4 linked regions of the Nothobranchius furzeri genome follow. The protein of the gene in region 1 purifies or fractionates together with the protein of each later gene. This does not show direct contact. Links are inferred from orthologs where the notes say so. Each region holds a gene or a part of one and is shown in the gene's direction. Other genes may lie near its edges.

Region 1 (7,681 bases):
CTCTCGTCCCCCGGGGTAAACCCCAACACACAAGCAGAGAGTCTTGGGGCTAACAAAAAGCCAACCCCAGCCCTCCGCCTCTCACCCAGAGCAACTCCAGCAAAGGAGAGTGTCCAACCCCTCTCAAGGACTTGGGTTCCAGAACCAATGCTATGTGTCGAGGTGAGTCCGACTATATCTAGCCGGTACCGCGTAACCTCTGCCACAAGCTCCTGCTCCTTTCCCACCAGCGAGATGACGTTCCATGTCCCAAAAACCAGTTTCCCTTGTCCAGGAATTGGACCGCCAAGGCTCCCGCCTTGGTCTGCCACTCGATCCACATTGCACTGGACCCTTCAGGTTCCTCCTGCGGGTGGTGGGTCCACAGTTGGATGAGCCCATGTATCCGGTTCGGGCCGGACCCGGCCGGGCCCCATGGGCGAAAGCCCGGCCACCAGGCGCTCACTCACAGGCCCCAACCCCAGGCCTGGCTCCAGGGTGGGACCCCGGTAACCCTCCGGGCCGGGTACTCCGACTCTTTGAATTTACATCCATGAAAGATCCTCTGAACCGTTTTTGTCTCACCCTTCACCTAAGACCAATTTGTCATGGGAGACCCTACCAGAGGCACAAAGTGCCCCAGACAACATAGCTCCTTCGATCATTAGGGCACTCAAACTCCTCCACCACGATAAGGTTACGGTTCAAGGAGGAGCGACTGTTCAAGCTCACAAATTGCCATAGAAATTTCAAGATTGCAACAGTTTTCAGACAGCAGCAATACACTGTGGTCCTGGCTGACTAGCCTTTAGCAAATCAATCCTTTAGGACATTTTTGTAAACAGAGGCTGATCAGAAACAGAGCCTAAAATAATGTGTTTATAACTTACAAGGAAAGGCATCTGAAAATGCCCTTTTTATTATTGTTATTTGGACCTTTCTAGACCCCGTTATCGTGTTAAAATCATCTAATCGCCTCTATACAGGCTTTACAGCTTCATGGCTAAATGGGAAATGGTCTGTATTTAACCTGTACTTGATATAGCACCTTCTTGAGTCCTGGAACCCCCCCAAGGCACTTTACAACACAATCAGTCATTCACACGTTGGTGGTGATGAGCTACGATGTAGCCACAGCTGCCCCGAGACGCACTGACAGAGGCGAGTGTGCTGTACACAGGCGCCACCGGTCCTTCCGACCACCATCAGCAGGCAAGTGTCTTGCCCAAGGACACGACAACAGCGACAGACTGAGCCACTGTTGCCCACATTTAATTTTATTCTTTTAAGAGACGTTTACCTACTCATTATGAAAAAGAATGACATCCACTTTACCTGCATGCAAACATCTGGCCTATCTTGAGTATTTTTTATAAAGCATGCTAAAAACATTAAATATCACCAAATACAACCTTATTTTACTTAAAAAGCACTTGTTTTCTTAAAAAATATTACAATCACAAATGAACTGAACTATTAAACATTTGCGTGGGTTTTTGGGATTTTATACATGTAGTTTTTACAAATACAATCGTGGTAACTTTGCTACCTCAACACAGACATAATTGTTGGGACCCCCCTGCAACCTTGTGGGGACCTCCTCGGGGATCATGGACCCCAGATTGGAAACCACTCATCTAAAGCGGGATTTCACACAGAAAAATTAATCCAACATATGATTTGTATTTGTTTTACTGGTTGACGCGGATGACTCCCGTTACAGGAAATGTCTGAGAATGGGGGTGGTGGGCAGCTGGTGGTGAAGGCTCGATTCAACTTCAAGCAGAACAACGAGGATGAGCTGTCGTTCGGTAAAGGTGACATGATCCTGGTGACGCGGCAGGAGGAGGGAGGATGGTGGGAGGGCACGCTCAATGGCAGGACAGGCTGGTTTCCCAGTAACTACGTCCGAGAGATCAAACCCTGTGGTGAGTTGGAGTGTCCTGTCTGGGTCGTATGATAACTCAATCTCATGGTGGCAGAGGTCCTAAAATGATGATTACATTAAATATAATTAAAACTACTTTATCTTACTGTTAAAATGGATCCTACGTTAGTTTTGAATCAGTTTTTTGAAATTCTTCTGATCATGTGTTTGATTTCCAGAAAAGTCTTTGTCTCCTAAAGCAACTCAGCTGACCAAGAACTACTACAACGTGGTACGTTATACCGTACGGATAAAATACCTTAACTTCATGGCAATTGTTGACTTTATGGCCTTCAGCAGTTCAATCTCTGGTAAAATAAATAATGCAAAATATTAAAACCATACTAGTGACATTGTATGATTGTAAGTCTTTTAAAAAAGGAAAATACATTTCAAAGACAGACGGTTATTGTTTGTCTTATTTTTCTACCCTACATTCAGGACATCCTTTTTTATGCTATTTTGTATTTTCTTTGTTGTGTTGCTTTACTCCAGGTGGTACAAGACATCCTGGAGCATGAGCGGGAGTTTGTTAAAGAACTGCAAACAGTGTTGAGTTGTTACCTGCGACCTCTGCAAGCCAGCGACAAGTAAGATTAGAAGCTGAAGATGTTTTATTTATTTAAATCTGATTTGTTTATTTGAATGGAACAAAGTATATTGATGCTGAACGTACATAAAATGTAAATATGCCAGAGTTAGCTAAGAGCTAGTTTCCATCCGTAGTCCCATAGGCACTCACACATTACCTTATAGATGAAACATGATGGAATACAAAGCATGGTTAAAACATTAGCAAAATAAGCAAATTACACTAAATCAAGAAAGAAATACTACAGAGACTTTAATTTGCTTTTAAAGGAATTGAAAGAGGAGCTGTCTCTTCTGTCAACTCACTGCATCCCCTGAGTGAGCGTATTCTGTGCAAACAGGGTTTTCCTGAAATTAATCTTGCCATCCCCTCTAATCACTGACCTAGTCTCTCAGATGGGTCTTTGCCATTTAAAAATATCTGTTAAAGGTGCTGGGGCTTGGCCTGTGAGAGATTTGTAAATGAGGCAAGAATTTTTAAATTAAAATTTCGAAAGTACAAAAAAAAAAAATTTAAACTTTATAGATGTTGTAAAAGGGTGGTTTCCTATCTAAAACCTTGATTGTGTTTTTGCTCAATTGGTTTCAATGCAGAGTCACTGACAAATGACCAAGTTGTAGCGAAGCAATATTTGATGTGTGTTTAAATCCAGTCCTAAAGCTGGGTGGATCACTCAAATTCATTTTTTAAAAAGCATTTAATTAATCTACTACGGTCATCGTAAATATTTTGTTATGTACATCTGCTTTAAACTCAGTATTTACATGAATAAAGTGGTTTCTCATCATAGTATAACCTAATAATTTTCTGGTGTTACACATTTATGTTTAATCTCAGTTCAACCACAGCAAGTTCTTTCAGTGTTAGTGTCAGTGGGGTCACACACAAAGCAACTCTACAGGCGTTAGTATGTTAAAAGTTAAAGTTTGTGGTGGGTAAATTAAGGTTTAAATCCAGAGTGTCCAAACCTTTCAAAGCAAGGGCAAAAATCATCCAAAGTCTTCATGTAACAAAAAACGTATTTGACTTTGTCAATGAGTAACAATTAGGGGTGTAACGGTTCACGGGAGGTGTTGAACCGTTTTGGTTCGGCCTGTTTGATTTGGTCCACGTGCGAACTGTTTCGGTTTATTTTTTCCGCTAAATAATGAATTTTTATTTGCGTGATTTAAGTGCAGCAGATAAAGGTTCCTAGGCGAGTTTCCGCACTGACGCTGTATTGAGTGACGCATGATGGCTGTATGTGCCCGATCTCCATTTAAAAAATGTGATCTGCAAATTCTGAACAACACCTTTCAGAGCGGATCAAACCAGCTGGCTGTCGCTGCTGCTGTGGAGCCTGTAGAGATGCTGAACGGAGCGTTGTGTCGCTCCTGCCTTCTCTCACACTGCAGGCACACAGTGGCTAAAATGTAAGCAAACACATCTGCTGAAGGTTTCATCCTACAACAACAAATACGGCACGAAGGAAGCTCGTTATTTAAAACAAGTTTTAAAGAAGAAACTCTGGGCGGTGTGAGGCGAGTTTTTAAGGCTCGCTGCAGAAATAAAGACAGGAGCATCAACAGTCAAACACACTTGTCTGTCTGTGGTGACACTCATAGCTGCATAAATAACCTGTGAAATAATTAAAAACATCATGCAAGATCAGCAGCCTGTGATGACACCTGGTTCTGGTCACTATAGGAGCTGCTTCAGATATTAAATAAATAAATATAATATACCAAAAATGAATTGAACCAAACTCTTTAAAACACGGGACCAAACCAAATACGATTTTAGCGTACCGTTACACCCCTAGTAACAATACACATCAAAATGTTGAACTGTGTGAATCTACAGCACCATCCTACTGGAGAAACAAAGTTCCTCAACAGAAATGCATAAAATGTGCTAAATGAATCTGAGTGCTGCAAATGGCCCCATGGAGTAACATGGTTAGTTTAAGCTGTTGGGAAGTTTTGACTGGAAAAAAAGCATCACTCCTCTCACAAAGATGCAGTATGTAAGAGTATAGTGAGAATTTTACAGTGAGAAAATCTCAAAAGAGTCTGATGTTTCAGTAATTTTGTAAGGAAGGTTATACTGAAACATATTTCATATCCAGCTGTGGGGATTGTCAGTTTTTCTCCTTTCAAAACAAAGGAAGGAGGGACGTAACTACTGTTTACCATCAGTGAGTGTGGGGTTGCCGTGTCTCCTGCGAGCTAATACTGCAGCACTGGCAATTGTCATTTGCGATGGCCAGCAAAAAGCTCCAGAGTAATTTAAAGTAGTTGCAGTAACCTGATTTTACCACAGGATGTCATTTTTACTTCATTTCTACATAATGCACCTTTAAAGCAACAAAGTGGCACAGCTTATAAACATGCATAGTTGCATCTGATCAGATTATGACTAAAAATAAAATTAACCTCTCAGCATACACGTGTCAATGAAGCATGGCGGTGGAGAGTTAATGATTAGAACTTAAACTTAAAGGCATCAGACCCTTGCAGACATTTTGTCAATTATAAACTCCTCTGTGACATTCTAATGTTTGCATCTGCAGTAAAAGCTGGGTTGAAATTTGGTCATGAAATCAGCATCAGCATATTGATGAATTTATATTCATTATAGCATATTGAATTTATATGCACAATATTTGTGTGGTGCACTTCAAACTCTGACTGCTAGGTGGAAGCAGTTTTACTGCGTTCGTTCTGGCGAAACAAGATCTTTCAATAACATCGAGTGTGCCTTGGTGGCGTTTTCCAATTATATTACGTCTTAAAATTGTAAATATCATCTGGCTTTTAGTATCACAATATATCGTATTGTCTCCCCTGATATATATCGTAATGCCAGATTCTAGCCAATACACACCCTTTTTGTAAAGAAAAAACAATGCTGTACTGCAATGGCTGAGTTAAACCTGGGCCCCAGGCTCACAGATTCCTGCCATGGAACTACAGAAACCCCAGTGAGCTGAAGCTGTGTTGTAATAATTAAATAACTTTGACCGTTAATCTTCAGAGATGTGACAACCTGCTGAAAGTGGTTTTACCATCATTTTTGTAGACATAAAGCTACAAAAATGATGGTGTTCATCAGAGGTTGCTTTGATCTGAAGGACTGTGATCTGTAAGATCTGAGAATGGGAAAGGATCAACTGCCTTTTGACCATGACTGTATGCATCACATGGTTGAATATATTTTAAGTAGTTCATACTTTTCTTTTCTGATGATTGCATCTTGTATGTTTAGATTAAGCAGTGCAGACAGCAGCACCTTGTGTGGAAACCTGGAGGAGATCCTCACCTTCCAACAGGGCCTGTGTTTAGCTCTGGAAGAATGTACCAAGTAAGTTGTGAAAGTCGAAGATCAACCTAATGAATTGTAACGATTACATTTACATATTATTTAATGAACCATAAAATGTGAGATTCCATAGGAAATATGAAATCAATTTTATGGACCTTTGGATTACTTAAACCAGAAGATTGGAACTTTTTATTGCAGGGATTATGTAACCACTTCGTATTAACTCAGAGACAAAAGAAAGAGAGTCAGGTTTAAAAGTTTAAAGATTTATTTCTAAACAAATTAAAACTAGACTAACTTTAAACACTCAACACTCTGTGTGATGGATGGATCTCGGTGTGAATGAGGCAAGATGGATGGTGTGTAGAGTGTTGTTCAGAACCAGCAAATCTGGAGAAATGACTAGTTCTGATGGGAGTGAAGATGATGTTTCGCTCTAAGCTTTGGTCTGGAGATTATAACACACATTGAGACGCCATTCTGTCGGTCTACATACCCAGCGGAAGTCCCCGTCTAGATTAGGAGGTGTAGAGGTCCAGCTTGGACCTTTCTGGAGCCGAAGCCTGTAGCACAGCAGCGGCTGCCGACCAGTCCTGTCTTGAGATACTCCCAGGTCACGACAGTTTTTTGGTATCTAGCGAGACCCAAAAAGGGGTCGATGGTTCAGCTTTTATTCCGAAAGGAACCGTTGCAGCAGGTGGAACATGCAAGAGATTTAATCCAGCTTGTCGTTAGGTTCTTTCGGCTTTAAGAGAAAAGTTACGGATTGGCCATTCTGACAACTTCTCTAGAATGCTTAAATGAATTTAAGATGACGTGGGCATAGTTTTATAATTTGGATGTTTTGATTTACGGTCGAATCAAAAAAGGGACAACAAGAGGGGATTTACCAAGCACCGACAAAACCACGCCTCGCGTCAGATCTGGAAGGTTCTGATTGGATCTGAAAAAGGAAATGTGTCATGTGACTTTAAGCATTACGTGGATGAGAATGTCTAGTGCAGCTAGTTTAAAGTTATATTACTTATTAACATACTACTGATCATAACATTGTCATTTCACAGATTGGTTCACATTTATTATTGGACTAACACTTTGTTTGATTAGCTTTATTAAAAATAGAGTTCTTCTGATTTATTAAAGGAAAGAGTTCTTTGTCTTCAATGTGCTAATGCTAACATGAGCCAACTGATATGAGAATATATCATGAAGTAAAAAGCTCAATTAGTTGGACAACAAATATTAGTTCAGTGGCAAAAAAGCCAAGTCACCATCATGCTGTGATTTTGTAGCCTCCTTCAGCTCCCTAATAAGTGTAGGCCGTGCCGATGTTCACTCTGGTTTTAGCTCTTTGCTTCATCTCATAAGACATTGCTCTCTTTTGCTTCTAGACTTTGCCATGATGCCAACAAAAAAAAAAAAAATTCTTCCATTTCTTCTACATGTGATTTTTATTGACCATTGGTGAACATTAAAAGCTAACTGCTAGCCTGTATGTTAGCTACCAGCACAGTAAATCGTAGTGGTGCACCGAAATGAAAATTTTCGGCCGAAAACTTTTGGTGCCCGAATTTTCGGTGCATCCCTATTAAATAGCTATTGCCATAAAGCAAGTCCACTTTTGCACCTACCCGCCCCTGTGTTGACAAGTTAACACACATACCTGAAATGAGGTTTAAAGAACACAGTGAAACTCAGGGCAAGTTCCTCATAAAGAAAAATCGTACCCGCAGCACAAAACTGTTAAATGCAGTTTCTACTGAGTGCTGTCCAATGTGAAGCTGCTCAAGGTTGTGGCTGAAGAACCACTGAAACCAGTTTGGAAGCAATAGCCTAAAGTCTTAAGACTCTTTAGTGTTGCTTTTAAGTAAAAGTCAATA
Region 2 (8,432 bases), on another chromosome or scaffold:
TAGAGATTTGTGGCTCAGTGTGGCCCCCGAAGCCTCCTGCCGCACGCCGGTCGGGACACGTGGAGTTTGGATGCAATGTAGGTCAACGTTGTGCAACGCTGCAGCGCCATCCTGGCCCGTCTGGGTTTCTATCCCATCAGCTGGCCACCAGCCAAGGAACACACTCGTTCTCTGGTTTGTGAAGGGATCCACGGTCACACAGCTCACAAAAATACTCAGCAAACGGCCAAATTCCGGGTGATTTACCATGAAGGTAAAACAATCGGAAACATAAAAGCAGTCACAGCTGGAGGTTACCAATCAAGCCAACTGGTGGTAAATCCTGTCTTATTTTAATGGTGACTTCCTCTGGCTCTGGCTGTAGGCCACATGCTGAGTCATGCTCTGCAGCAGCCAGTCAGGCCCCTCTGATGATTTATGGGTAAAAATAAAATGCTTTAATAATCCAGAATCACATTTATTTTTCTGAATTTAACACGTTAATCTAATTTGTCTGATCCGATGTGAATTAACATCAAAGTGAACCAAAACTTTTATGCAAATCCACTAAAATTTATTCTGCACTTGCCTTTTAATCTTCGGAGGATCACATTTATGGATTTTTAGAAACGTTGCCGTGCAGCCAGAGCTGCCCGTCCGGGCACCACAGGGTCGCCCCACAGGAAGCTAGTCGCTGCATCAAAATGCTATCAGCCCCGCTCCGTGTGCAGCATCCTGATGAGACGTGATGGAGGCCGTTGTAAGCGCTAGCAGGAAGTGGGCTGTGCCTGAATGAAGACAAAAAGAAAATGGTGGCCTTTGCCTGGCTTGTGCAAGTTTTAATTCTCTAATCAACTTTCCTTCTGCAGGCAAAGGAGATCCTGACCAAAGAGTCCAACGTCCAGGAGGTGAGATGTCCAGTGACCGTGTGTGGCGACGTGCACGGCCAGTTCCACGACCTCATGGAGCTGTTCAAGATCGGTGGGAAATCGCCGGACACAAACTACCTGTTCATGGGGGACTATGTGGACCGAGGGTACTACTCTGTAGAAACCGTCACATTACTTGTAGCTCTTAAGGTGACTTTGTCAGACATTTAAAACAGTTTTTTTTTCCTCTTTGGGGTGAAAAACGCGACGTAAACAGATGTTTGTGTTTCAGGTTCGCTTCCGGGAGCGCATCACGATCCTCAGAGGGAACCACGAGAGCAGACAGATCACACAAGTCTACGGCTTCTACGACGAGTGCTTAAGGAAATACGGAAACGCAAACGTTTGGAAATACTTCACAGACTTGTTCGATTACCTCCCCCTCACTGCGCTGGTAGACTCTCAGGTGAGAGGAGCGTAATAAAAAAGACCGAACTTGACGTTTCTTTGAAAAGCATCATAATTTGTTATAATTATCGATTTTTTTTCCTCAGATTTTCTGCCTCCACGGGGGCTTATCACCGTCTATAGACACGCTGGATCACATCAGAGCTCTGGATCGTTTACAGGAAGTGCCGCACGAGGTAAAGAAAGACGTTAAATGTGGTGCAGATCAGCAACGAAACAATAAAGATAAAAACGTTTGTGACCATTCTCGTTGTCACGCAGGGTCCCATGTGCGACCTGCTGTGGTCAGACCCCGACGACCGCGGCGGCTGGGGCATCTCTCCCCGAGGAGCTGGCTACACATTTGGTCAGGACATCTCTGAAACGTTCAACCACGCCAACCGCCTCACGCTGGTGTCCCGCGCCCATCAGCTGGTCATGGAGGTTTGTCTTTGTGTCCAAAGATGATTAAAAACAAAGAAGCAGTGCCGCTAAGTTCAGATGCGTGTTAATATTACATCTGCTTACCTCAGGGCTACAACTGGTGCCATGAGAGGAACGTGGTGACCATTTTTAGTGCTCCTAACTACTGCTATCGCTGTGGAAACCAGGCAGCCATCATGGAGCTAGACGACACCCTCAAATACTCTTTGTAAGCAGGCGAATTTCATCACGAGTGGACAAAGAAATCTTAGAATAAGTTGTGATTTTTTTTCTTCCTGATGTTCCTCCTCAGCTTGCAGTTTGATCCAGCGCCTCGCAGAGGAGAGCCCCATGTAACTCGCCGCACCCCAGACTACTTCTTGTAAACCTGCAGTCTCGACCCGCGCACGGTCCGGTCCGGTCCTGTCCAGAACCACCAACCTATCTGACTTTGAACTGAAAACAACGTGATGGAGGCCTGAGAGGCTGCAGTGTTGCACGTTGTGTTTATCCAATCTAGTTAAAGCATTTCGCAAAAGCAAATGTGTCTATAAACGGACCAAAAGGTGTGTGCCATGATCACTTAAATATTTATTGTATCTGAAATGACAAAATAGAACATCCTGGATGTCTCGGCTCCTCCTCCTGTACATATGGAGCTGGGTTGACGGCACCAAAGTCCAAGACTAATTTGCTACTGCAGACCATGGTTTTTGAGATTTGAATGTGATTTGTTTGCACTTTTGTACAGTTAAAGAAATGTTAAATATGTCAAAAAGATTAATACGATTTCACGATATTGATAGTTTTTTTGTTGTTTATTTTTAAATTGCATGTAAACCTTCAGTTTTTTTTGACCTGTGTATGTTTTAGGAAAATCCCTTCTCATGCAGTCAGATGGCTTGGTTTATAGAAAAGATGGAGTGTTCATCAACTCACCTGCTTCCTTTTAGCTTCAGACTCTATAATAACCTACTAGAATAATAAAGATGACTTCTTGAATTGTGTTTTTGGTTATTCTTCATTCTTGTAAAAAGTCTAGTTATATTTGGATTTCTCTGGCCAGTTGTAATTACACTGACACAGCAAGGCGAAGACATAAAAAATACATTTATTTAAATGTGAATTTAAATTATTGTGCTCCATAATATTAGATTGTATTGAGAACAGAAGTATCAATTGCCCAAAACAAGCAAACTTAATGTTGAGAATTGTGTTATTTCAAATAAAAGGCGCATAAATGCAATTTTATTAAGTTTTTCCAGAGCAATCTAAGCCAGCCTGGATCCTGCTGGAAACAAGTCGCATCTGCCGGAAAAAAGGGGAAATACGCCACCCTGTGGTTGTGAATAGGCACGACACCACACATAGACAATCGCAGGCACTGACCCTAGTGCTTCCTGTTATCTCTTCACAAAGTGTAACTAATAAATTAGACTTACACATTTTCAAAAATAAATATATTTAAATTTAATATTTTTAAATATTATTTTGTATTTGATATATGACATAAATTTTTCTTACCGCACCACCATGCCATATACAATAAATGAATGATTTGTGTAGTCTGTTGTCAAAAGGAGTCATGTACTTTAAATTGTTATTGGTACACTGACAGAGAGATTTATAATGAAAGATACACATAGAAAGTGATCATTTTATTTTTATTAAAAAAAATAGAATAGCACAAGACAAGTCACTGTTATCACAAAAGAGCTTATTTGTTCCATGTAGACAAAGTATTTGTCTTTTTATAACACAAATTCTGATTTAAAATCAAAGTGGTTCGAGATGAGACAATCAAAATAAAATCTGAGCTAGGTAAACAAGAAGCGATGCTGACTGGTAGCCACCGCCACGATTTGAGCTCGGCCCTGCTGTGCTCCCTTCATTAGCACATGTTGTTAAGGGAAGCCAATTTATCATATAAAATCGGAATTGTACTGGGGTTGTTTAAAGGAAATCGGCACTTGCTTGCTTTTAAGTGTTGTTAAGTATCTACCTTACTAAATATACACTGTGGGACAAGACAACTGGTATTTACCATCGACATATACGTATTTACGTTTAATAGCTTATGTTTGGCACGTTTTGATCACCTTACTTTATAATGTATTCTGCAAGAATTAAATAATATCACGGTTTAACTTGTACAGACATTTTAAATGTAATTAATGAAAATGCTGTTTTGTTTAGAACAAATAAAAAAATTGTAGGGCATTAACATGATTATATGTTACAACGGATTGCCATACAGCGGAAAAGGTTGATCCAGAGGCTTTTAGCCGCTGTTCGTCACTTAAAGTCTAGGCCTTCCAACGGACTCCTAAGGATATATAACCTTTGAGTTTTTGTTAAATAATCACGGTATGTAGCTTCATGTTCTGGTGACCTGATAAAGTTAGGTTTAAATAGATTTTCACGTCAGGTTTATGCGTCAATTTGAAACGCCTCGATGATGTAGCAAAGAGGCCTAGCTGACAGCAAAGAGCTGGCGAAACGAAGAGTCAAGATTTAAGCTTTGTGACATACATTTTAGACACAATTGATTGTCTCGCCTGTGATTAACATGTATTTGTTTACCATTATTTGTAATAGCGAACATCTTTCAATGTATTTTTCTTTTAAGCACACGGAAACTAGCTAACTTTAGCATTTCCGTCTTGTAGCTTGTGTCATCGTTAGCTTGGGCATTAGCGCTTCTCAAATAAATTAGATTTACAACAGGTGGTATTTATTCAGTATGAACACACAAGTGCATCTGGCAAGTCTTATGATAGGTATTATTTATCAAATCAATAGCTTTTGTTTATACAAAGAGCTAATTGTATGTTAGCTTTTCGTTAGCTTGTTGTTTGCTAGCTTAGTTTGGTAATTGAGACAATTCGTCGCGGATTACGTCTGCTATTGTCGCAAAATTAGCAGTAAATGCACTGAATGAATATTATTGTTCATTCCAGAAAATGCCCACGATAAAACTACAGAGTTCTGATGGGGAAATTTTCGAGGTAGACGTTGAGATAGCCAAACAATCCGTCACCATCAAGACCATGTTGGAAGGTAAAATGTTCTGTTCATTTCAAACGTTCAAACTTGATTTTGTGAGTTTATAACTGACGTAAAAAGAGTTATCAGTTTTTTTAATTAACAGTAAAGATCGTTTGGGTTGAGGCTGAATTTTAACGTTTTTTTTTTTTGTGTGTGTGGTCAGACTTGGGAATGGACGATGAAGGAGATGATGACCCAGTTCCCCTTCCTAATGTGAACGCGGCTATCCTGAAGAAGGTACAGAACGCACAGCTGTCACAATGACAACAGCAGAGTCATCAGATTTGTTTCACATCAGTCGATGGGAGAAAAGTGATTGGTTTTTATTTGATTTCTGGATTTCACCGTGACAGTTGGGTATACCGCAATAGTTGACTAATCGTGTCATTCAAAAAAAAAACTATAGGTTATTGCACCAGGCTGCTCTAATATACCCATCATTAGCTTCTAGTTTGAAGTTTAATCCGTTATGTGCCATCTAATAATAAACTTTTAATTAACTTCATAACTTATTAATACAAATGCTACAGTCAAATGGAGGTAGGCACCTAAAACCAAAAATAAATTGTCTACAAAAAATTACTTGTGTTCGCAAAATGTATTCTAATCTTAACTCAGGAAATAGCAGGGCACATCAAGGTGCGCCTCTGTAGCATGGCTGGTACACCCGTCAGCAGTCAGGGGATCATCGACAGCTTTGAGGGTCTGCTTTATTGTAAAGATATTAAATTTAGTTTATTTACCAAATTAATAATTCTGTTATAAAACAAAGTAGATTAAAATTCAACACATGTAAACTGTATTATGCACCAATATTAGGTTCCTGATTGCTCAGTCAGCAACCTTTTTATTTGATCATAAAACACATTAAATTCCAATAATTATTTGTGTCCAGAGAGAAAGAGACTAAGACTTGAACACGCGCGCACACCTTAAAGGTTGTTTCGTATTTCTTTTCCATCATGCTGGTGAATGGGCATCAGCCTGGTAGGTAGTTGTCGTGGTATCCTTGATCATCTTTTTGAAACCTCGATCACCGACCATGGACAGGAGTCTCATGACCAACATGGTCAGGACGTTAGCTTGCTGAGGTGTTCACGTAACCAACTCGTCCATTGAAGAGGAGCATTTTTATTAACACTGTAGCGTAGCGGGATGAAATCATTATCGTTTGTAATTGGAGCAAAAATACGTGACATACAAACGTGATCTAATGGTAATAAAAATAGCCACCGCTACTGCTGTTGCTACACCTATAACTACAAGTAACTCTCTGTTGATGCTAGCAGCTAAAGAGGTAAACTTAGAGAGGCGACTCTTTATTCTCTGCCATGACGTGCTTCCTTGTAAGGTGCTCATGCATCGCCGATGTGCTCCCGTGAAAGGAGAGTTTCCCTTTGCAGAGTTTGCACTATGTGCTTTCCTTAGTCTATGTATAATACTCCAAAACTTTTGAGCTATGTTGCCGACTCGCTATGTCTTCTTTCTCCGGTGACGAAGGCTGATCTGGATGGCCACTACTGCGAATGCGCCTCGGAGCTGAAAACAGCCACTGACCCGGATGGGGACTAATGCGCATGTGCATTGAGCAGAAAGTCAGGAAGCAACCGCCGAATGTGCCGCAGCAGGCGAGATTAAAATTAATGGTCACAGAATAAATAATGCATCCACTATTAAATTAGTAGTCGAGTATTTTGTTTGTTGATGTTGTGACGAGTCGACTAATCATGGCAGCCCTATATAACTTATTAAGAGGATGCTCAGTCTGTCTTTGTTATGTTCTGTCCTGCCAAATCAACTGACACGCTCCTTTAATCCAGATAAAGGTAAAACTGTACGTGTAGATGCACCTCAGCAGAAGATCTCAAAATTCCTTCATCACGGGGGAATGTTGTGCACATGTTTCTGTCTGCGTAAATCTTAACACGAATGTATAAAATTATGTAGTTTCAGTTAAGAATAAACATGTTTTCCCCTTTAGGTGATTCAGTGGTGCACTCATCACAAAGATGATCCTCCTCCTCCCGAGGATGATGAGAACAAAGAGAAAAGGACGGACGACATTCCCGTCTGGGACCAGGAGTTCCTCAAAGTGGACCAAGGCACCTTGTTTGAACTCATTCTGGTAAATATGTTTCATTAAACATTATTCTTATTTTGCTGCTAAATGCGTTAGCTACATTGAAATTGATGCTTTTCCCGCACCCCTTAAACAGATTTTCACCCCTCAGCAGAATTCTTAACTCTTGAGGTTGAATCAACTGGAAAAAATGTCCTCTCTGTTTTTAGGTCATTATTAGAAGTTTGGGTCAGGCAAAACCAGAAAAGTTGTTGTTTTTGCAAATATTACACATAGTTTATAGTTCTGCTACAAATTCTGATTGGCAGCCGACCTCTTCGCCGCAGCTCTCCATAACACTCAGCCTAAAATGCGCTCACTGTAAACATTACTATAAATAAAATAAGTGTTTAAAAAGGCAACTTATTTTGTATTGTACAGCTATAATTATTCATGTGAACTGATTTGAAATGTAGTTTATAAGAGGAGCTTGGAGACGTTAGCGATCCACTTGTGTTTGGATTAGCTTTAGCACATCATTAGTTAAAACGTAAACACTTTCTTCAAACTGAGGCTCTTCAGGAAGCTGTCTACAAGAAGTAAGATAAAAACTGATGTGTTACACAGAAACACGTCAGAATGTCCCAAAGCCCCATGAATATGTTCTTCAAACGATATAAGTGCTTGTTTTCTCTTAACTCCGATCCAGATCTTTATTTACACCCGTTACTTCAAACGTCCTCGTTTGATGATTATTTTAAAAAAAATTTTTTTTGTCAAGTTTTGTGTAATTGGGTATTCTGTAGGGATGGACAATATAACGGTATCGGCTGATGTTAGCTATTTTTTAACATATCTGTTCAATAAAGAAAACCAGGCCAATATTAACAACCGATATTTTTCCATCTTGTCCCCATTTGTTTGCCTGTTTCAGAGGGTGATGTGTAATTTAGTCTTGTGAACAGTGAATGAAATCATTTCAGAACCATAAATGTGTGTGGTGTGTGTACATAATAATGTAAATCCAGCTTTAATAATTTATAATTTTCATTCTATACAAAATCTGCTGATTTTAGAAGCATTAATGCCAGTATATCGATATCGACCAATATCGGTATCGGCACAAAAAATTTCATATCGCCGATATATGATATCGGTGCATCACTAGTATTCTGTCTAGGGATGTCCCATTCCGATATCAGAAGCAATTCATTATCGGCCCAAAAACACTATTGGATTATATCGGACTGCATCATAAATCTCCAATATAAGCAGTTTGTTAAGGTTCACATTTTTGCGACCAGTGGTTTAAAAAAAGGGTCAAATTTTTTTTCATACTTACTGTTATTGGCTCTTGTTCTCCGATTGAGTAATATCACTTCATCAAGCCTTTCATACATTCCACACTACGGAATAGGTAAAAGTATGATTTGTGCTGGTATCGTATTGAAATCGGTGTCGTATCGGGACATCCCTAATTCTGTCTTTTTTGTGGTCTGATTTGATCACCAAAAACACAAATGTTGCTTAGCAACATCTAGTAAAAGAGACAGATGCTGATTTTAAGTTGTATAAAAAGTTCCTTGTTAATGAAGTGGAAGCAGATT
Region 3 (8,145 bases), on another chromosome or scaffold:
AACACGGGCAATGTACAAATTAGCATTTTTCCACTTTTCATTCATTTTTTTCCTGTTATTTTAAAATTTTAGGACCCAACCACTTTTATTCAGCCTCAACAGTTAATTACTTTATGCCCAAAACAAAGTTTAACAGTGCAGGTTCACACATTTAAACTAGAATTCTTTCGGTTGTGATGGAATTAATGTCAGATGAAAAAGATTAAACTAAAAAATGTTCTTTGCAGTTTTACTCCTATGTTTAATAAAAGGAGTAATTATTCATCAGCGGTTGGTCTCTGTGTGGGTTAAGAAACTGATCAAACCTTCTGTTTAGATAACTGATAAGGTTGTCTGCAAAGAATGTAATTCATTATGCAGCCGTAACCTTAGCAGATGTTCACTCTGCTACAGCAAAACAGGAGATTTGTTTCAAGTAAGTTTTGATTAATTAATCATAGGTCTTTGATTTTTATTTAAAAAAAATGCAACAGCAGATGTTGAAAGTTCCTCTTTTCTGCAGGGAGGAGGATCTGAGTGATGACATGGAGGCAGTGGCGGTTCTGCATGGTATTACTCCCCGGGCGAGGCCCCCTTTGAGCCCGGTTGGACGTGCACGGAAAACCTCACCAAGGAGGCATCCCAACCAGATGCCCAACCCACCTCAACTGGCTTCTCTCGATGTGGAGGAGCAGCAGGTCTACTCCAAGCCCCTCCCTATCTCTAAGGAAGAGCCCAGACACCCTGCAGAGAAAACTCATTTTGTCCGCTTGTATCTGCGATCTCATTCTTTCGGTCACTACCCAAAGCTCATGACCATAGGTGAGGGTAGGAACGTAGATCGACCGGTAAATCGAGAGCTTCGCCTTCTGACTCAGCTCTCTCTTCACCACGACAGACCGGTACAACACCCGCATCACTGCAGATGCAGCACCAACCCGCCTGTCGATCTCACGCTCCAGCTTTCCCTCACTCGTGAACAAGACCCCAAGATAATTAAACTCCTCCATTTGGGGCAGGACCTCATCCCTGACTTGGAGAAGGCATAATAATTGGTGTACTGTTGTGAAATGTGAGCACTTAAACAGTAATCTGTATCTATAATTGGTGATTCCATTGTCAAGCCAAACATCCAGTATCCAAAGACCAGAGAGCCACGGCTGCACTATGGTGGGATTTTTAAGCATTTATGTGAAGTGAAGAGGTAAATGTTCAAAACAACAATTAAGAATGATGAAAGTTTTGCGCCATTTTGTTACAAATCAGTAAATGCATTTTGTTCTCATGGGCTCCCATAAAAGGAAACGTGTCATCTAATATGGCGTCGCCCAGAGACTTAGGGTGTTTCTCAATGTCAAGACACCTGGTCTTGTGAGGCGATGTCTTGCGAGGCCAGGCGCCTTGCTTACGAGGACACTGTCCTTCCTTGGTCAAAGAAAACGGATAAATGGAACAGACTTGCATCACATGACCGCGGCTTCCACGGCGGTCATGTAACGTCACGTGACACTGGAGATAAAGTTATATTTTATACGTATTAGTTTCAACATAAATATATAACGAGCCTTTTACTTTTTAAATTGTGTATTCATTTGTTAAATAAAAAATATAAGTGAGATACTACCCGCTAGCCACCGAACTGCAACTAAGCAACTAACCAACCACAGATAACTTCTTTGGATCTAAAAAAAACATTTTAAATTAGCTGACGTACTTTTAAACTTGAAAATTGTCCCCAAAGTAGCTGCCGACTTCTGATACGCCATCGTTTTGAAAATGCCGCGGTGTATTGTGGGTAATTTTTGACCAAGGCTAGGCTACAAGACACCTCCCGCGTATCCTTGCTCAGCTAGCTAAACGGCAAACAAACGTAGAACACACACCTCGGTAGAACATGAACATTGGAACACGGCTCTTGATGATGTATCTCCTAGGCAACCGGGGCGGGGCCAAGACATCAAGGCAAGGTTCCTTGGCATTGAGAAACACCCTTAGACTCGCTCCCATGTATTTTAGACACGATTTTTTTGGTTATAGTTTACAAAGGTGCCAATATTTTTCAACAACTGGGCTTCATTTTATTGATTTTCAACAACATTTTGTATTTCTAGAGATTAATGGTAAAAGCTACACATTGTCTCTTTAAGAAAACAAAAATAAAATTCTGACTTTTAAAGAAATAATTTTAACACTAAATCAAACAGCATTCTTTGTTATAAATAATTAATATCTTATCTGAAGTAAAAAGCTCTTTGATTGCCCTCAGTTTGGAGAAACACAGACCACAGGTGTGAATGGAGAATGTTTATCTGTACTGATGAGGATTTTATATTTTCATCTGAATTTTCATGTAAAGTAAAAATTTCTGCAGTTTCAAAGTTCAAATGGTGTTTAAAAGCCTTTAGATGAACTGCTAGAACAATGATGAGATCTGAGTTGTTTTAATACAATAGAAACCCACTTTTAATTTACCCTCCTGGAACTAATCAGTAACTTATTTGCCTAGACACAATCAAATTTTACTATTCTCTGTTTACCTGCCTGCCATTCTAACCAAACTACAACCTTCACCAGAGCTGGGGAGTAAGCAGCTCCAGTCAAAAGATCTCTGCCAGATACTGGGAGATCTTGATGGATCAGCCGAAGTTCCCCAGTCATACTGCTGTCACCTCCCTCAGACCAGACGCTGTTCTTGTGTCTGAGGCCAGTAAGCAAGTTTTGCTGTTGGACTTAACAATTCCCCGGGAAGAGCCCTGGAGAAAGCTCTCCAAGTATGGAGTGGACTGGTTGGAGAGTGAGAGTGAGGTGCTTCCCAGTGGAAGCTGGATGCAGGGGTTAGATCCCTGCTTGATCACTGAGTTGCCTTGGCGTAGAGGATAAGCATGAGACACGAGCCATCAGCAGCACCACCACTGAAGCAGTCGAGTCGAGGCAGTGGAGGACGAACCACTGATGTAGATTGTTCTTAATATTTTTCAGAGTTCCAATTTAAAAGATCTGAAGGATCATTTTGGTGATTTCAAAATCATCTTTCCTGCTTTCAAACTTGTAAATATGAAGTTTAGTAATTATTGTAACTTTGGAAATCATAATTACAAGATCAAAGTCATAACTATGACTAAAAATAACACCATAATTACAACCTTGACAGTTATTAAAAATTATATTTATGACTTTAAAAGTCAGATTTCTAAGACAAAAGGTTGCAAATGTGATTAAAAGTTATAAATCTGAGATGTTACCATAACTGTACCCTAATCGAGCCAATATACGTTTCCCGTTATTGTGAGATGTATCATTTTGAAGTTAAAAGTCACCACATTGCCTGATATTAGGCACCAACAATGAAATAGACAGGAAATATTTTAAAGAACTTTTTTTTTAAATTTATTTAAAAGTTGATCATTTATCATAACTAACCCTGATCACTGACTGTTTCCTGCCGCCGGGGGGCATCAGTGCATCACTTACACTTTCTATTTGTTTCTCTTCCAGAGGAAGGTGGTGCTGTTGCTCACCAGCCGCTCATCGTGCGCAAAGATCGGCGCTGAAGCTGCAGAAGGATGTGCTCTCCGGACGAATGTTTTGGATAAACGCAGGGAGTTTGACCAGTAACCATTTTCACTTTTACAGTCTGCAGAGCGCACCGGTCCGAAGGTTCTGGAGCCCCCGGTGGTTTGGGTCCGTTTTGGAGCAGCGTGCCTCAGAGCCGGACACACGGTCCAGTTGACTGGAGTTCGTAGCTTTTAGGGAATTTAAACTTTTCCGTTGTTGGATCTGGAGTTGTGTTTGTGATGTGAGGGCGCGCACGAGGCCAGTCGGGATGCACGCTGGAAGTTTAGCCCCGCACCCGTTGTCCTGAACTCCCACCTCTTCTTTTCGCGCATTTTCACCGCATTTTTACTCTACTCGGGTCTGCAGGAAGGTTCGATGCGAGAAGAAGAGCAAATGGCCAACGAGCGGAAACCGCGGCTGTGTGTGATGAATAAAGGGGAGAACGGGTATGGCTTTCACCTGCACGGAGAGAAGGGGAAGAGCGGACAGTTCATCCGCCAAGTGGAGCCCAACTCCCCCGCAGAGGCGTCGGGGCTGCGCGCCGGGGACCGGGTGGTCGCCGTGAACGGCGTCAACGTGGAGAAGGAGACACACCACCAGGCGAGTGGATGTGTGCTTTCATATTTATGATTAGAGTCGAGTTACATGTCTGCCTGCGAGGGTGCATCAACAGGTCACACACACACACACACACACACACACACACACACACACACACACACACACACACACACACACACACACACACACACACACACACACACAAAGTGCGCAAAACCCGCCCCCGCCACACTAATCTAATCTGTCGCATTGAATTTACAGACTTTCAGCATATTGGCATATTGTTGAGGCTGATAAACACTCAGACGCTTCAGCTGCAGACTTTGTTCTGTCTGAGCCCAAAATGATCTGCAACTATCAAATATCTCTGCCCCAAACCAAGTTAAACTGTCTTATCTGTCAGGTCACAGAGCAGCAGGAGGTTTTTACTTTTGTTTCATCACTCTTCTGATGGGTAATGGTTCTTATAGATTTGCATTTATCTGTGTAATTCATTTTAAATTCAGTTGAGTTAAAAATCTGATTCAGTTTTCGACTTCATTCCTCTCATCCACTAACTGTCATTGAGGCCTGACCTCAAATGTTGTGTTTTCTCACAACTATGGTGGTCTGATGGTGGGAAACAGTAACAGATGAGAGAGAGAGGGGGGTGGGGCGTGGGGGTCAACTATTTAATCCACTAAATTTTGGCATATGATTGGACAAACCTTTGATTGGTTTGATATAATTTTTCTCCACAAGCATATACTCAACATGAGTTTATGCACGTTTGTTTTTTGTTGGAATTTGGGACACTGATTTTGTTTTAGAGTGCCGAAACCGATTTCTGACTCTTGTAACAGCTCAGACTTGCTGATGCTGGTTTGGCCCATTCAGATTCATCTAACTAACATTAAAGAGACAATGTGTAGTTTTACCATTAATTTCTGGAAACATCCATCAAAATGTAGTTGAAAATGAATGAAATGAAGCCCAGTTGTTGAACAATATTGGCAGCGTCGTAACATCTAACCATAAAAATCTGGTCTAAAATAAATGGGAGCGGGTCTAAGTCTCTGGGCGACGCCATATTAGATGCTATGTTTCCTTCTACGGGTGCCCATGAGGACAAAATGCATCTACTGATTTGTAACAAACCGTTACAAAACTTTTGTCATTGTTAAATATGTTGTTTTACACGTTTACCTCTTCAATTGTTGCCAGTGATGAAAGAGAGTCTGATGTGCTTATTTTGCTAAAGTTTGCACTCCCCAGGGCTTTTAGACCCTAATGGGCTTCCGTTGGTAAGGTCTTATTCCAACACAAAAATACAGCTTTCTTACAACGATTTAGGTATCTACTGCCCCCTATGGCCAGAAAAAATACACACTGTCACTTTAAAGCGTTCATTCCGGAGCTAAAACCTTGCACATGTAACATCAGTTACTAACATCGATGAGCAGTTGTCTGGTGAGTTCACAGACCAGGAAAAATGTCAGATGTTTTATTGTTGACGCCGCTTACAGATCAATATAAAAAAATCAGAATTCCGAGTTTCTGATCACCAGACAATCTAGCTCCTCTCTTAATTATTTTTTCGTCTAAACTGTTGTGTTTTAGCCTGTTGTTGCTATACCCATGAACATCTTTAGTCTATTATTTTAAATCCTCCCAGATTCATGAGCTAATGGCTGGGACTATTTAAACCAAAACGTTTCACTGCCAACTTAAAACACCTTTAATCTCCCAAATCTCACAACAACAGCTAATGTGAACGTTTATTTAGAAACCTTTACATCACTGTTAGTGGTTACGTCAGCTGGAACTGTCTGACTCCTGCTGGATTTGAGCCCTAAAAGCACCATAAAGAGCTGAAGTTTGATCATGTTGCAGGTTTGTTTTGTCACCTCATACTTAAACAAGGGCCTGACAGCTGGGACATTTAAAACAACAACCATAATCTAGTTCTTACATTGTTAAAGGTGCAGCATGTAAGAATATAGTGAGAATTTTACAGTGAGAAAATCCCAAAAGAGTTTAATGTTTCTGTCATTTTAGAAGGAAGGTTATAGTGAAATATATTAGCTGGATGCTGGGATTGTCAGTTTTTCTCCTCTCAAAACAAAGGAAGGAGGGACTACTGTTTACCATCAGTGAGTGTGGGGTTGCCGTGTCTCCTGCGAGTAATACTGCAGCGCTACAATTGTAATGTGGCAATGGCTAGCAAAACGCTCCAGAGTTGTTGAAAATGGTTGCACCAAATTTTACCCCAGAATTTCATTTTTAACTTCATTTTTTCTACATAATGCACAATGCAGGCTGGGTCTCCCTGACAGAACATATAATACTGACAATAACATAGTTTCATATGTTATTAACATGTATAAAAGTTAAAGAGCAAGTTCACTGAGAAACCGTTTTAGATTGTTCTTTTTAAATTACGGTCGGTCACTCTGACTTTCACAAGCAGGCTGAATGTGAAATTAGATAACAGACAGGGAAACGCTCAGATCATGGTCAGGTCCTCATGACGGGGAAGTTCTTGTTGGTTTAGCGTCCAGGAGAGAGCAGACCGTGTCCCAGCTAGTAGAAGTTAACCATTAGCATTAGCAAATCCACAACATGGCAGAACTCCGTGAGTCTTGTGTTATTTGTGGAGATGACAGATCAGTGTCAGTGTTAGAGTCATGTTGCTGTTAGCTAATCACAGGTGAGATGTCCAAATATCATGAATACTAACGACGAGTAAGACTCCAAATCCTTCCGTTATCTGGCCTCTACTCCTCCGGGTAATTTCTACTACCTGAAACAGGAGCGCCAGAGCTTTTCTCTCACAGAAATAGTAAAGACCACTGCAGATGTCAAAGTCAAGGTCCCAATAGTTGTCACACAGGGGGAGTGGTGAGCTGCAGACACAGCCATATTCGGGAACTATTTGGTGGTTTAATCCCCCAATCCAACACCTTAATGCTGAGTGTCAAGCATTGGGTCCCATTTTTTCAAAGTCTTTGGTATGACCTGACTGGGATTTGAACCCCGATCTCCCAGTCCGAGGGTGGACACTCATACCATTAGGCCACTTAGCTGGTAATGTGTTGAATTAACAAGTGAATGAGAGCTTAACAAATACTGTCACGTGAACCATTGAGGGATACTCTATGATCTTCACTTAAGCCTAGTTTATGCTTCTCCGTCAGCTCCACAGGGGAGAGACACGCACGCACTAACAGAGACGTTTTGCTCTCAGACTTCTCCGCTGCCTGGGGAGTGTTGCAAAGTGATTCCCCACCAGGACAGCAGAGGGCGTAGCGCTGTTCTGGAATTTCCTGCTATGTATCCGGTCCAAGATAGTGCACTTTCTGTAGGAAGTCTAAGCGTGTTTCTCAATGTCAAGGCGCCTGGCCTTGCGTGGCGATGTCTTGCGAGGCCAGGCGCCTTGCTTACGAGGACACTGTCCTTCATTGGTCAAAAGAAAACGGTTAAATTGAACAGACTTGCATCACGTGACCGCGGCTTCTTTGGATCTAAAAAAAAAAACATTTTAAATTAGTTGACTTACATTTAAACATGAAACTTGCCCCCGAAGTAGCTGCCTGCTTCTGATCTGCCATCCTTTTCAAAATACAGAGGTGTGTTCAGGGAAATTTTTGACTGAGGCAAGGCTACAAGACACCTCCCGTGTATCCTTGCTCAGCTAGCTAAACGGCTAACAAACGGATAACACACGCCATGAACATTGGAACACGTTTTGGCAGTTCCTGATGAAGTATCTCCTAGGCAACCAGGGCGGGACAAGACATTAGGGCAAGGTTCCATGGCAAGTCTCCTCCCTTTCCGGTCGACTCATGGGTCCCCGGATAAGCGAAAAGATGAATGCAAGTCAATGGGGCTAAAAGACCACGCCTGTCACGTACTTTGAGATTCATCAGCTTGTAAAACTTTCTAATTAGCACGACTACAAACCAGACGTCGGCACATAATCTCCTGTCCTCTAGCGTAGCTGCTACTTACCAAATGGCCAGAATTATGGTGGTTTTTCCCTCCTGAAGGAAGGATTTTAAGTTTGCTAAA
Region 4 (8,257 bases), on another chromosome or scaffold:
TTTCTAACTGGGGTGTTCAGCTCTCCACCCATAAGCAACGGTAAGAGAAATGTTTCGTTCATGATTGATAACTTGTATGAATGCCGGTTGAATAAAGCCTTGTTGTTCATCTGATATTCAAGTTGTGTTTCATTGTTTCTGGCGTCGACTTGACAACGATCCTGATTAAATAAATATAAAGTGTAAAAAAGAGACTTTGAGTCTTTTAAGGTAATTAAAATAAAATAAAACATTTTATTTTAGAACAGCAGGTCAGATGATACGACTACAAAATCTATCATCGACCTGTGACCTAGGCTGCCCTGGTACCAAGTGTACCGGTGGGCATCCTTATGTTCGAACATGGTGTTCGTTATGGCCAAACTGCGGCTTGCACAGAAGTCCAATAACAAAACACCGCTCGAGTTCAGATTAGGTGGGCCGTTCCTCCCAATCACACCCCTCCAGGTCAAGCTGTCATTGCCCACGTGAGCATTGAAGTCCCCCAGCAGGACAATGGAGTCCCCTGATGGAGCACTATCTAGCACTCGTCCCAGGGACTCCAAAAAGGGTGGGTACTCTGAACTGATATTTGGCCCATAAGCACAAACAACAGTCAGGACCCGTTCCCCGACCCGAAGGCGCAAGGAAGCTACCCTCTTGTCCCCCGGGGTAAACCCCAACACACAGGCAGAGAGTCTCGGGGCTAACAAAAAGCCAACCCCAGCCCTCCGCCTCTCACCCGGAGCAACTCCAGCAAAGTAGAGTGTCCAACCCCTCTCCAGGTCTCGGGTTCCAGAGCCAATGCAATGTGTCGAGGTGAGTCCGACTATATCTAGCCGGTACCGCTCAACCTCTGCCACAAGCTCCGGCTCCTTCCCCGCCAGCGAGGTGACGTTCCATGTCCCAAAGACTAGTTTTCTTGTCCGGGGATTGGACCGCCAAGGCTCCCGCCTTGGTCTGCCACCCGATTCGCATTGCACCGGACCCTTCATGTTCCTCCTGCGGGTGGTGGGTCCACAGTTGGACGAGCCCATGTATCCGGTTCGGGCTGGGCCCGGCCGGGCCCCATGGGCGAAAGCCCGGCCACCAGGCGCTCGCTCACGGGCCCCAACCCCAGGCCTGGCTCCAGGGTGGGACCCCGGTAACCCTCCGGGCCGGGTACTCCGACTCTTCGTTTTAACCGCCATGAAAGATCCTTCGAACCGTTCTTTGTCTCACCCTTCACCTAAGTCCAATTTGTCATGGGAGACCCTACCAGGGGCACTAAGTGCCCCAGACAACATAGCTCCTAGGATCATTAGGGCACTCAAACTCCTCCACCACGATAAGGTGACGTTTCAAGGAGGAGAGAATAGAATATTGACTCTGATGAAGAAATTCACTCATCCAGCCGGGATGCTGCAGCATCAGACAGCTGGTGCTGCACGAGAGGTGTGTTGAGTTTACAAGCTCCAAACGTTGGGTCTGATGTTGGTTTAACCTTCTCTGGGACGTGATGGATGTATAAACGATGGTAAAACACCGCTAACGTGACAGATGTAGCGACAACGTAAAAAAAAAAGCCGTAAAAAAGAGGCAGATGCCGATGTGTTTTGTATGGAAGTCAAGTGTGCCACATAATCATAAAAAAATTAAAATATACAATTTTAAGAGAGATTTAAATATGTATATATAAATAAAAACTTTCCACACATAATGAAAATATCTAAATAACGTAAAAATACGAAGGAACATCTGTTGGTCAGGCTGAAAAGTTTGGGAACCACTGCTCTAAGTGATAAGTGAATATTGTTTTTTAAATGTATTTTATGTGCAGTTTTTTAGGGCTTTCATGTTTTCTGTAAAGATTGGTATGCTGAAAATCATTTAATGTTTTGCATAAAGCATGAGGTTTTGGTTAGTAATTGGAAGAATAACAAATGACTGAATTAAATAGTGGAGCGCCTCTGTCAGTGTGCCCCAGGGCAGCTGTGGCTACATCATAGCTCATCACCATCAGTGTGTGAATGGATGAATGATACACTGTAGTGTAAAGCACTTTGGAGTCCTTACTCTGAGAGGCGCTATACAAGTGCGGATCATTTATCATTTATAGTGTTGATCAGGCAGAGCTGTGTTGCCAGCGTTCCACTGCATAATGGCTTCAGACGCGTATACAATAGTTTTTACGTAAACCATTGGAGGAAATTACACAAACTGAGCTCTAGTTAAGGTGCTTGCAATAGTGTGTGTGTGTGTGTGCGCGCGCGCATGTGTTTGGGGGAGGGTATATTGGAACATCCCCCCCCCCCCCCAGTTTGAAAATCCTATCTGTGCCCCTGTATATACACAATTTAAAAAGTAAAAGGCTTGTTATACAAAAATATAACTTCACCTCCTGTGGAGTAAGTCTGTTCCATTTTAATCGTTTTCTTTGACCAAGGAAGAACAGTGTCCTCAAAAGAAAGGCGCCAGGCCTAGCAAGGCAATGACTTGGTGCCTTAATATTGAAAAACACACAGTGATTTTTTTTTTCCCCTTCAAAAGTCTAATTTAGGTTTGGGGCTTTTCAGAAAACATCCGGGGCTTGAGCCCAAGTGGCCACCTCCTAACCCCGCTTCTGCATTACCGTAAAGTGGAATTATGTATTTATTTAAAATGAAATTTTAGACACTTATTTTGAAAGTTTCAGAAGTAAAAAGGAAATTTAAGTAAAGCTAATCTGATGCAACTTTTTACTCTAAAGAGATACTAATACGACTCACCGGGCCGTTTCCGCTCACAAGCATGTTCGTGCGGAGTTGACTTCCTGCTAAGCTAATCCGTTTCTCCGCCTCAGCACCGCGAGTTTGTTTGGTTTATGAACAAACAGCTGCAGGTGCTCGTGCATTCGTGTATGGCAATCCGATTGGATCGAAATCCGTTCACTTTTGAGCAGGTTTTGTTGTAAAACGGCGTTCAAATCTCCGTTTTTAAACTTCCAACGCCGAAAAACCAGTTGAAAATCCCTTCAGAACGTCGTCTTCGTGAAGTTTTCAGAGCACCGTAAAAACGACGTATTTTCTCGTCTCTGAACACCGCACAGAGGCACTCTGAACACATCCTCCAGCCAACGGTAGAGCTGCAGTCTCCCTGTGACGTTAACGTGTGTGTCCCGTAGGTTCCAGGAGCGGAATAAACGACTCACACCGGAGCTGCGTTTCACCTGAGCTTTTTGCTGCGCAGTGCGCACCGAACTACGAACGATCTGTTTGCAGCCGAAGCTTCGGCTCATGTTTCAAATACACCAAAACAGAAGAGTTATGCTCCCTCATAGCGCTGGGCTCCCTGAGGTCAAGGTTTCTTACTTCCTGTTTAATCTTTTCACAATAAAAGCACAAATTCATAAATACAGGCAATAAAACAACACACAGCGTTCCCTATATTAAGGATTAACGATGTTCGGAAGAACCAGTTCTCTCTGAGCCAGGCTGGGCTGTGGGGTGGGGGGAGATCCAGCAATCAACCGGCTGGGAAAGCTGACCACGACACCCGGCTTCCGGAGACTATAGGACCGCAGCGGCTGGAGGGCAGACATCCGTCTCTGGTTTTCACATCGGCGCAGACTTCAGCTGACTGTTGCGGCCACTTCCGATATGTCAAGAAAGCTTCAAAGGACAGAAGTGTGCGCTGATTGCAGTGCTCCAGGTAGGCAGCGGGGTAAATAAAAACGGAACAATGCCAGGGGAGGGCTAACGGGGCCGGGGATGCTGCCACTGTGGGCTTTCAGAGCAGGAAACGGCCGGGAGTGTCGTCAACTAGGCCCCAGACAAACCGTGAAAAATAGCTGAACGCCGCTACACCGCGGTTAAAAGCCCTGTACCTGTTTATAAGGACGATAACACACATCTGTAGCAGGTTACTGGTGGTGGCTAATAGAGTTTGCCTTTGTTGTTAGCTTAGCTTAAGCTGCTAGCCACTCCAGCCAAGCTGATCCGGAGTTTGAGATTAAAGTCGTGTCGTGAAAATTGAGACGTGATAAAAGTTTGCATGAGTGTCGCAGCAGTGTCCCTTAGGCAAGGGGACCAGTAAAACAACTCTGACCCCCGAGTGGTTTGGTTATCATGAGTCAGCGTCATCCGGATGAGGTTTTGTCACTTTTAGGAGCATCATTACGGTTCTTCAGCCTAACTGGTCCCTGTTGCATCAGAAGGTCTGATCACTCCAACTCCTGTTTATGTGGCATCAGCAAAGCTTCTCTTTCCAGACCAGCAGCAGGTTTCTGACTGGAGCTGACAGAAGACAGCACATCACTCCCGTTCTGATCAGGATTAACTGCAAAGTCCTACTGCTTGCAATCAAATGTTTGAAGTCAGGTCCCTCCCTATCTAAGTGAACTCCTCCATTTCTACCACCCCTCTGGTGCTCTTAGGTCTGCAGATAAACTCCTCCTCACCATCCCTAAGGCATGTTTGAGGGCTTTTTGTATCTGTGCCTCGAAACTTTGGAGTTCCCCACCCCTTCCTGTTAAGCCGGGCGTACACTGTGCGACTTTGTCACTTTTTTGAGCCGATTTTCCACTCGTGCGAGAATCCACGACATCGGGGCGAGTTTTGCGCCGAGCGTCGTGTAGTGTACAGGGGGTTACGAGAGGCGATTAAGGCCTAGTCCACACGTAGCCGGGGTTTTTTAAAATCGAATATCCTCCCCTCCAAAAACTCGCATCCACACCACTGCATTTTAAAAACAAACTCTGTCCACACGTACCCGGATAAATACTTTGTTAAGGACATGCCAGACCTGTAGGCGGCAGTACTTCCCCCGTTCTTAACCTCGTCCTTCGTCTGTGGTCTTCTGCAAGGAGGTGTAATTCTGCTTGCAAAAACAAACAAGTAAAAAGCGCTTGGACAATTGATGGATCGGGTAGTGACAGAGCGCAGCTCTGAGGGCATCCATGCTGTCGGCTAGTGTAAACACAGGTCGCACACGTGATGTCAGCATTTTTTGTCGCGGAAAGTGACGTTGCGGACCTTAAAACTCCGGTTTTGTCCGTCCACACGCAGACACCCACAACGGAGAAAACGCAGATCTTCACTTTGGCCGGAGTTTTTAAAAAGATCAGTTTTCGTGTGAAAAAGCTCCGTTTTCGTGTGGATGACAGGCCAAAACGCAGAAAAATATCTACGTTTTGGCAGATCCCCGGCTACGTGTGGACAGGGCCTAACACCACGTGACCAGCTGCCGATCAGCAGTCGTGAGGTCGCACGGACTTCTGGCGTGTTTAAAATTTTGCTCGTCCCTCGTGAGGGTATGGCACTGTTGAAGCGGAGCTGCGAGCAGCTGCAACCCAAAAAGTATCAGAACCGCTCACGGCGCATGCGCAATCCTGCATCAACGCCGCTTGCTCGCTATTTCCCTAATAACACGCTGTTCGCTTTTATTTCTACACGTTTTTTTACTCACAAAGATTGTCAAGAAAGCGTGTTTGTCGTGTTCATGTCAAATTAAGCTGATCACAAAACACAGATTTACTTTCTTTTAGGGCAGGGTGATACGCCCAAAAAATAAAATCTCCGATTTTATTTTCTTTAATTCGATTTCCGATTTTTTCCGATTACACCCCCCCCCCCCCCCCCCCCCAAGAAAAGGACACCAACAAGTACAAACAGCAGACCACTTGAAGCTACTTTTGCTTTTATTTAATCAAAAGCAAAACGTGTAATGCTCTTCAGGGATGAATGGCGAATAACTGAAAACCCTCTTGGAATCAAAGTGCCAGGTGTGTTTTGAGTCATACTCTGTTGTCTAGAGTGAAATGTGACAAACATTCCCATTAGAGTAACACCATTTTCTCAAACATTAACAATACATTCAAATACAGGTAAAACTAAACCAACCCAAACAGTGCGACAACTAACAGGGATAAATGCATCATACTTTTCAATCCAAAAACAGAGAAAAAAAATTATCTGTCTTTAACTTGCATTTACGGTAAAAGATTTACTTTGCATATAATTTTAAATAAAAACATAAGTGCAAAACTTCTTTCTTGGGTAAAATACTAATTTAAACAAAAATTAAGAGTACAAAAATTGCAAAATAAACAATATTCAACTCCAACTGAAAAGTGCCAACTTTTGTTAAAAAAATAACTTTAACAAACGATTTGTGTCCCTGAATGTAGAAACAGGAGAGAAAAATCACATTTTGATTGAGCTGCTGAACATGAGATCTGTGCTTAAGTTTGGGTCAATAACATTTATATATTTTTGGCAAGGAAAATCAGCCTGTCCACTGCCTCTGGCTTGAGGCAAGCTCGGCTGCATTTGACAACTCATCCTGCCGCACTGAATAGCCTCTCAGATGGGGCACTTGTTGCAGGGAGACTGAGGTATTTCTTGGCCAGGTGACTGAGCCTCGAGAAGTTTGATTTGTTGCTCTTCCACCATTGCAGTGGATCAGTGTCAGGATCTACCTCTGGGATGAGCATATAAGTTGCAAGTTCAGTCTCTATTTTAGCCTCTTCCGACTGGTCAGGGCCAGGGGTTGGCACACTCTTCTTGAAGAAAGTTGCTAAGGTCTTTTTCCTCTTGGGATTTGGCTGAGGCCTTGCCTCTTGGTCCACCTGCACAACTGGACCAGGCTGTGGTGTGCTTTTGTCAGTGGGGAAAGACAGAAGTTCACTGACAGCTCTTCTTTTGATTTGCTCCACCTTGTCTGGGTCGATGTAGGATGTCCGGAATCTTGGATCCATCAGAGAGGCCATGTCCAGGAGTTCATCTTTGACAGGATCACTGTATTTGTTAACAAGGTATCCCAGTATGTTGCTTTTGATTGTTTTGGTAAGCTCTGTGTCGTTGTCCTCAGGCTGCAAAAGACTTGTTTTGAACAGATGGATAACAGGCTTGATGTATGAGACACTAACATACATTTCCCCTGATAAAGCATCTGTAAAATCTTGGAGTGCTTTAACCGCCTTGTTTACTCACTCCAAAACCTCGATGTCTTGCCAAGAGGGCAAGAGATGGCGGCTTTTAACTTCAGACCCCAGGACACGGGCAATAGCCTTCTCCTGTTCCAGTAATCGCTCGATCATCTTTTGGCGGGAGCCCCACCTGGTTGGAGATTCTACTATAAGCTGATGAGGGGGAAGGCTCAGCTCTGACTGAGCCAAACCCAGCTCTCTTCTTTTCTTCCAACTGTAGGAAAAAGCAGCAACTATCTTCTTGCAAACTCCAATGGCTCGGTCTATGCGGGTATCCTTAACACCATTCTCTGTATGATAAAGAATAAAACACAAAGACATGCATCGCTATTGGGGACTTGAATAAACAACTACATCCACCTAAAAATGATTTCTTCTGTATGTCTACTTATGTATGAACATAGTAACACCTGCAGTCGTTACACTGAATATATGTTTGGTGTATATTATTTTTATGTTTTAATCCATGGGCAGAACTTTGCAGCAGCACAGTGATAAATAAGCACAAATACTATTAATAAATTTAGAAGAAAGAGTATTCAACAGGACACATGATTAATATGAGCAGAATTCTGTGCCATTAGGAACTGAATTTGAATTACTCCAGGTTGAAATACAATTTTCAGTTTCAGAAGCAAATTTAAATAAGCTAAACTGAACCTGAGGGGAGGGGGGTGAAAGTGAGCGTTTGGAGGCTCAGTTTGCAGTAGAATAAAATACATTTTTAAACCAAATTAATCCATTTTCATAATACAAAACTATTTCAATTTAATGACAATCAATTCCAAACTGAACTTTGAACTTTACCCTCTCAACAGGAAATCTTTATTCAACTTTCCAGTGTCAAACTGGTAGCATTTATGTTTACCTGCCGCTCCTGCAGTGTCACACTCAAAAACCTCCGGGCGGAACACAAACTATCATTGCAATTTCTATTGCTACAGTAGTTAAAGACGAGCATCATCCAACTTGGCTGTGGTTTGATGTGCTCTGTCGAAATGTAAGATTTTATTTTACTTATTGTCAGACTTACCGATAGCGTTGTGTAGTTTGTGTCCAAAGCACTGGAGGTTTGGCCATCCGTTCACCTTCAGGGCTTTAATCATGTTGGTCCCGCTGTCAGTCGTCATGCAGGATAGACGATTCTCAGACAGGTTCCAGCAGTCAAGAGCGTCTCTCAGTCCTTTGGCGATAAGTTCACCGGTGTGGTCCTCGGGAAAGTATGACGTTTGGAGGGAAATACTACGTAAATCCCACACGTTGTTAATGAAATGCACCGTTAAACTCATATACGGCTGCATAGTTCAACTGCTCCACATGTCGGTAGTTGCC

Evidence for each region.
Region 2: the proteins of arhgef6 (region 1) and skp1 purify together in Homo sapiens (affinity purification with mass spectrometry; 3 studies listed by BioGRID and IntAct, with this or other methods). This does not show direct contact. The link is inferred for Nothobranchius furzeri from reciprocal best matches to the Homo sapiens genes ARHGEF6 and SKP1.
Region 3: the proteins of arhgef6 (region 1) and Na(+)/H(+) exchange regulatory cofactor NHE-RF2 purify together in Homo sapiens (affinity purification with mass spectrometry; 3 studies listed by BioGRID and IntAct, with this or other methods). This does not show direct contact. The link is inferred for Nothobranchius furzeri from reciprocal best matches to the Homo sapiens genes ARHGEF6 and NHERF2.
Region 4: the proteins of arhgef6 (region 1) and git1 purify together in Homo sapiens (affinity purification with mass spectrometry; 3 studies listed by BioGRID and IntAct, counting the BioPlex papers as one, with this or other methods). This does not show direct contact. The link is inferred for Nothobranchius furzeri from reciprocal best matches to the Homo sapiens genes ARHGEF6 and GIT1.

The regions. Positions count from the first base shown.
Region 1 is NC_091741.1:83,139,401-83,147,081, reverse strand, and holds part of arhgef6 (rho guanine nucleotide exchange factor 6), read left to right. Parts: intron 1-1,702; coding exon 1,703-1,907; intron 1,908-2,085; coding exon 2,086-2,138; intron 2,139-2,401; coding exon 2,402-2,496; intron 2,497-5,744; coding exon 5,745-5,840; intron 5,841-7,681. UniProt on the Homo sapiens protein: Acts as a RAC1 guanine nucleotide exchange factor (GEF).
Region 2 is NC_091750.1:60,007,897-60,016,328, reverse strand, and holds the start of skp1 (S-phase kinase-associated protein 1), read left to right. Parts: upstream 1-3,940; 5' UTR 3,941-4,085; intron 4,086-4,678; 5' UTR 4,679-4,681; coding exon 4,682-4,778; intron 4,779-4,929; coding exon 4,930-5,003; intron 5,004-6,747; coding exon 6,748-6,891; intron 6,892-8,432. Other genes in the region: ppp2cab (serine/threonine-protein phosphatase 2A catalytic subunit alpha isoform), read left to right, coding at 849-1,058, 1,141-1,314, 1,403-1,492, 1,578-1,739, 1,829-1,947, 2,032-2,104. UniProt on the Homo sapiens protein: Essential component of the SCF (SKP1-CUL1-F-box protein) ubiquitin ligase complex, which mediates the ubiquitination of proteins involved in cell cycle progression, signal transduction and transcription.
Region 3 is NC_091752.1:53,771,980-53,780,124, reverse strand, and holds the start of Na(+)/H(+) exchange regulatory cofactor NHE-RF2, read left to right. Parts: upstream 1-3,486; 5' UTR 3,487-3,909; coding exon 3,910-4,134; intron 4,135-8,145.
Region 4 is NC_091753.1:16,483,181-16,491,437, reverse strand, and holds the start of git1 (ARF GTPase-activating protein GIT1), read left to right. Parts: upstream 1-3,342; 5' UTR 3,343-3,596; coding exon 3,597-3,648; intron 3,649-8,257. UniProt on the Homo sapiens protein: GTPase-activating protein for ADP ribosylation factor family members, including ARF1.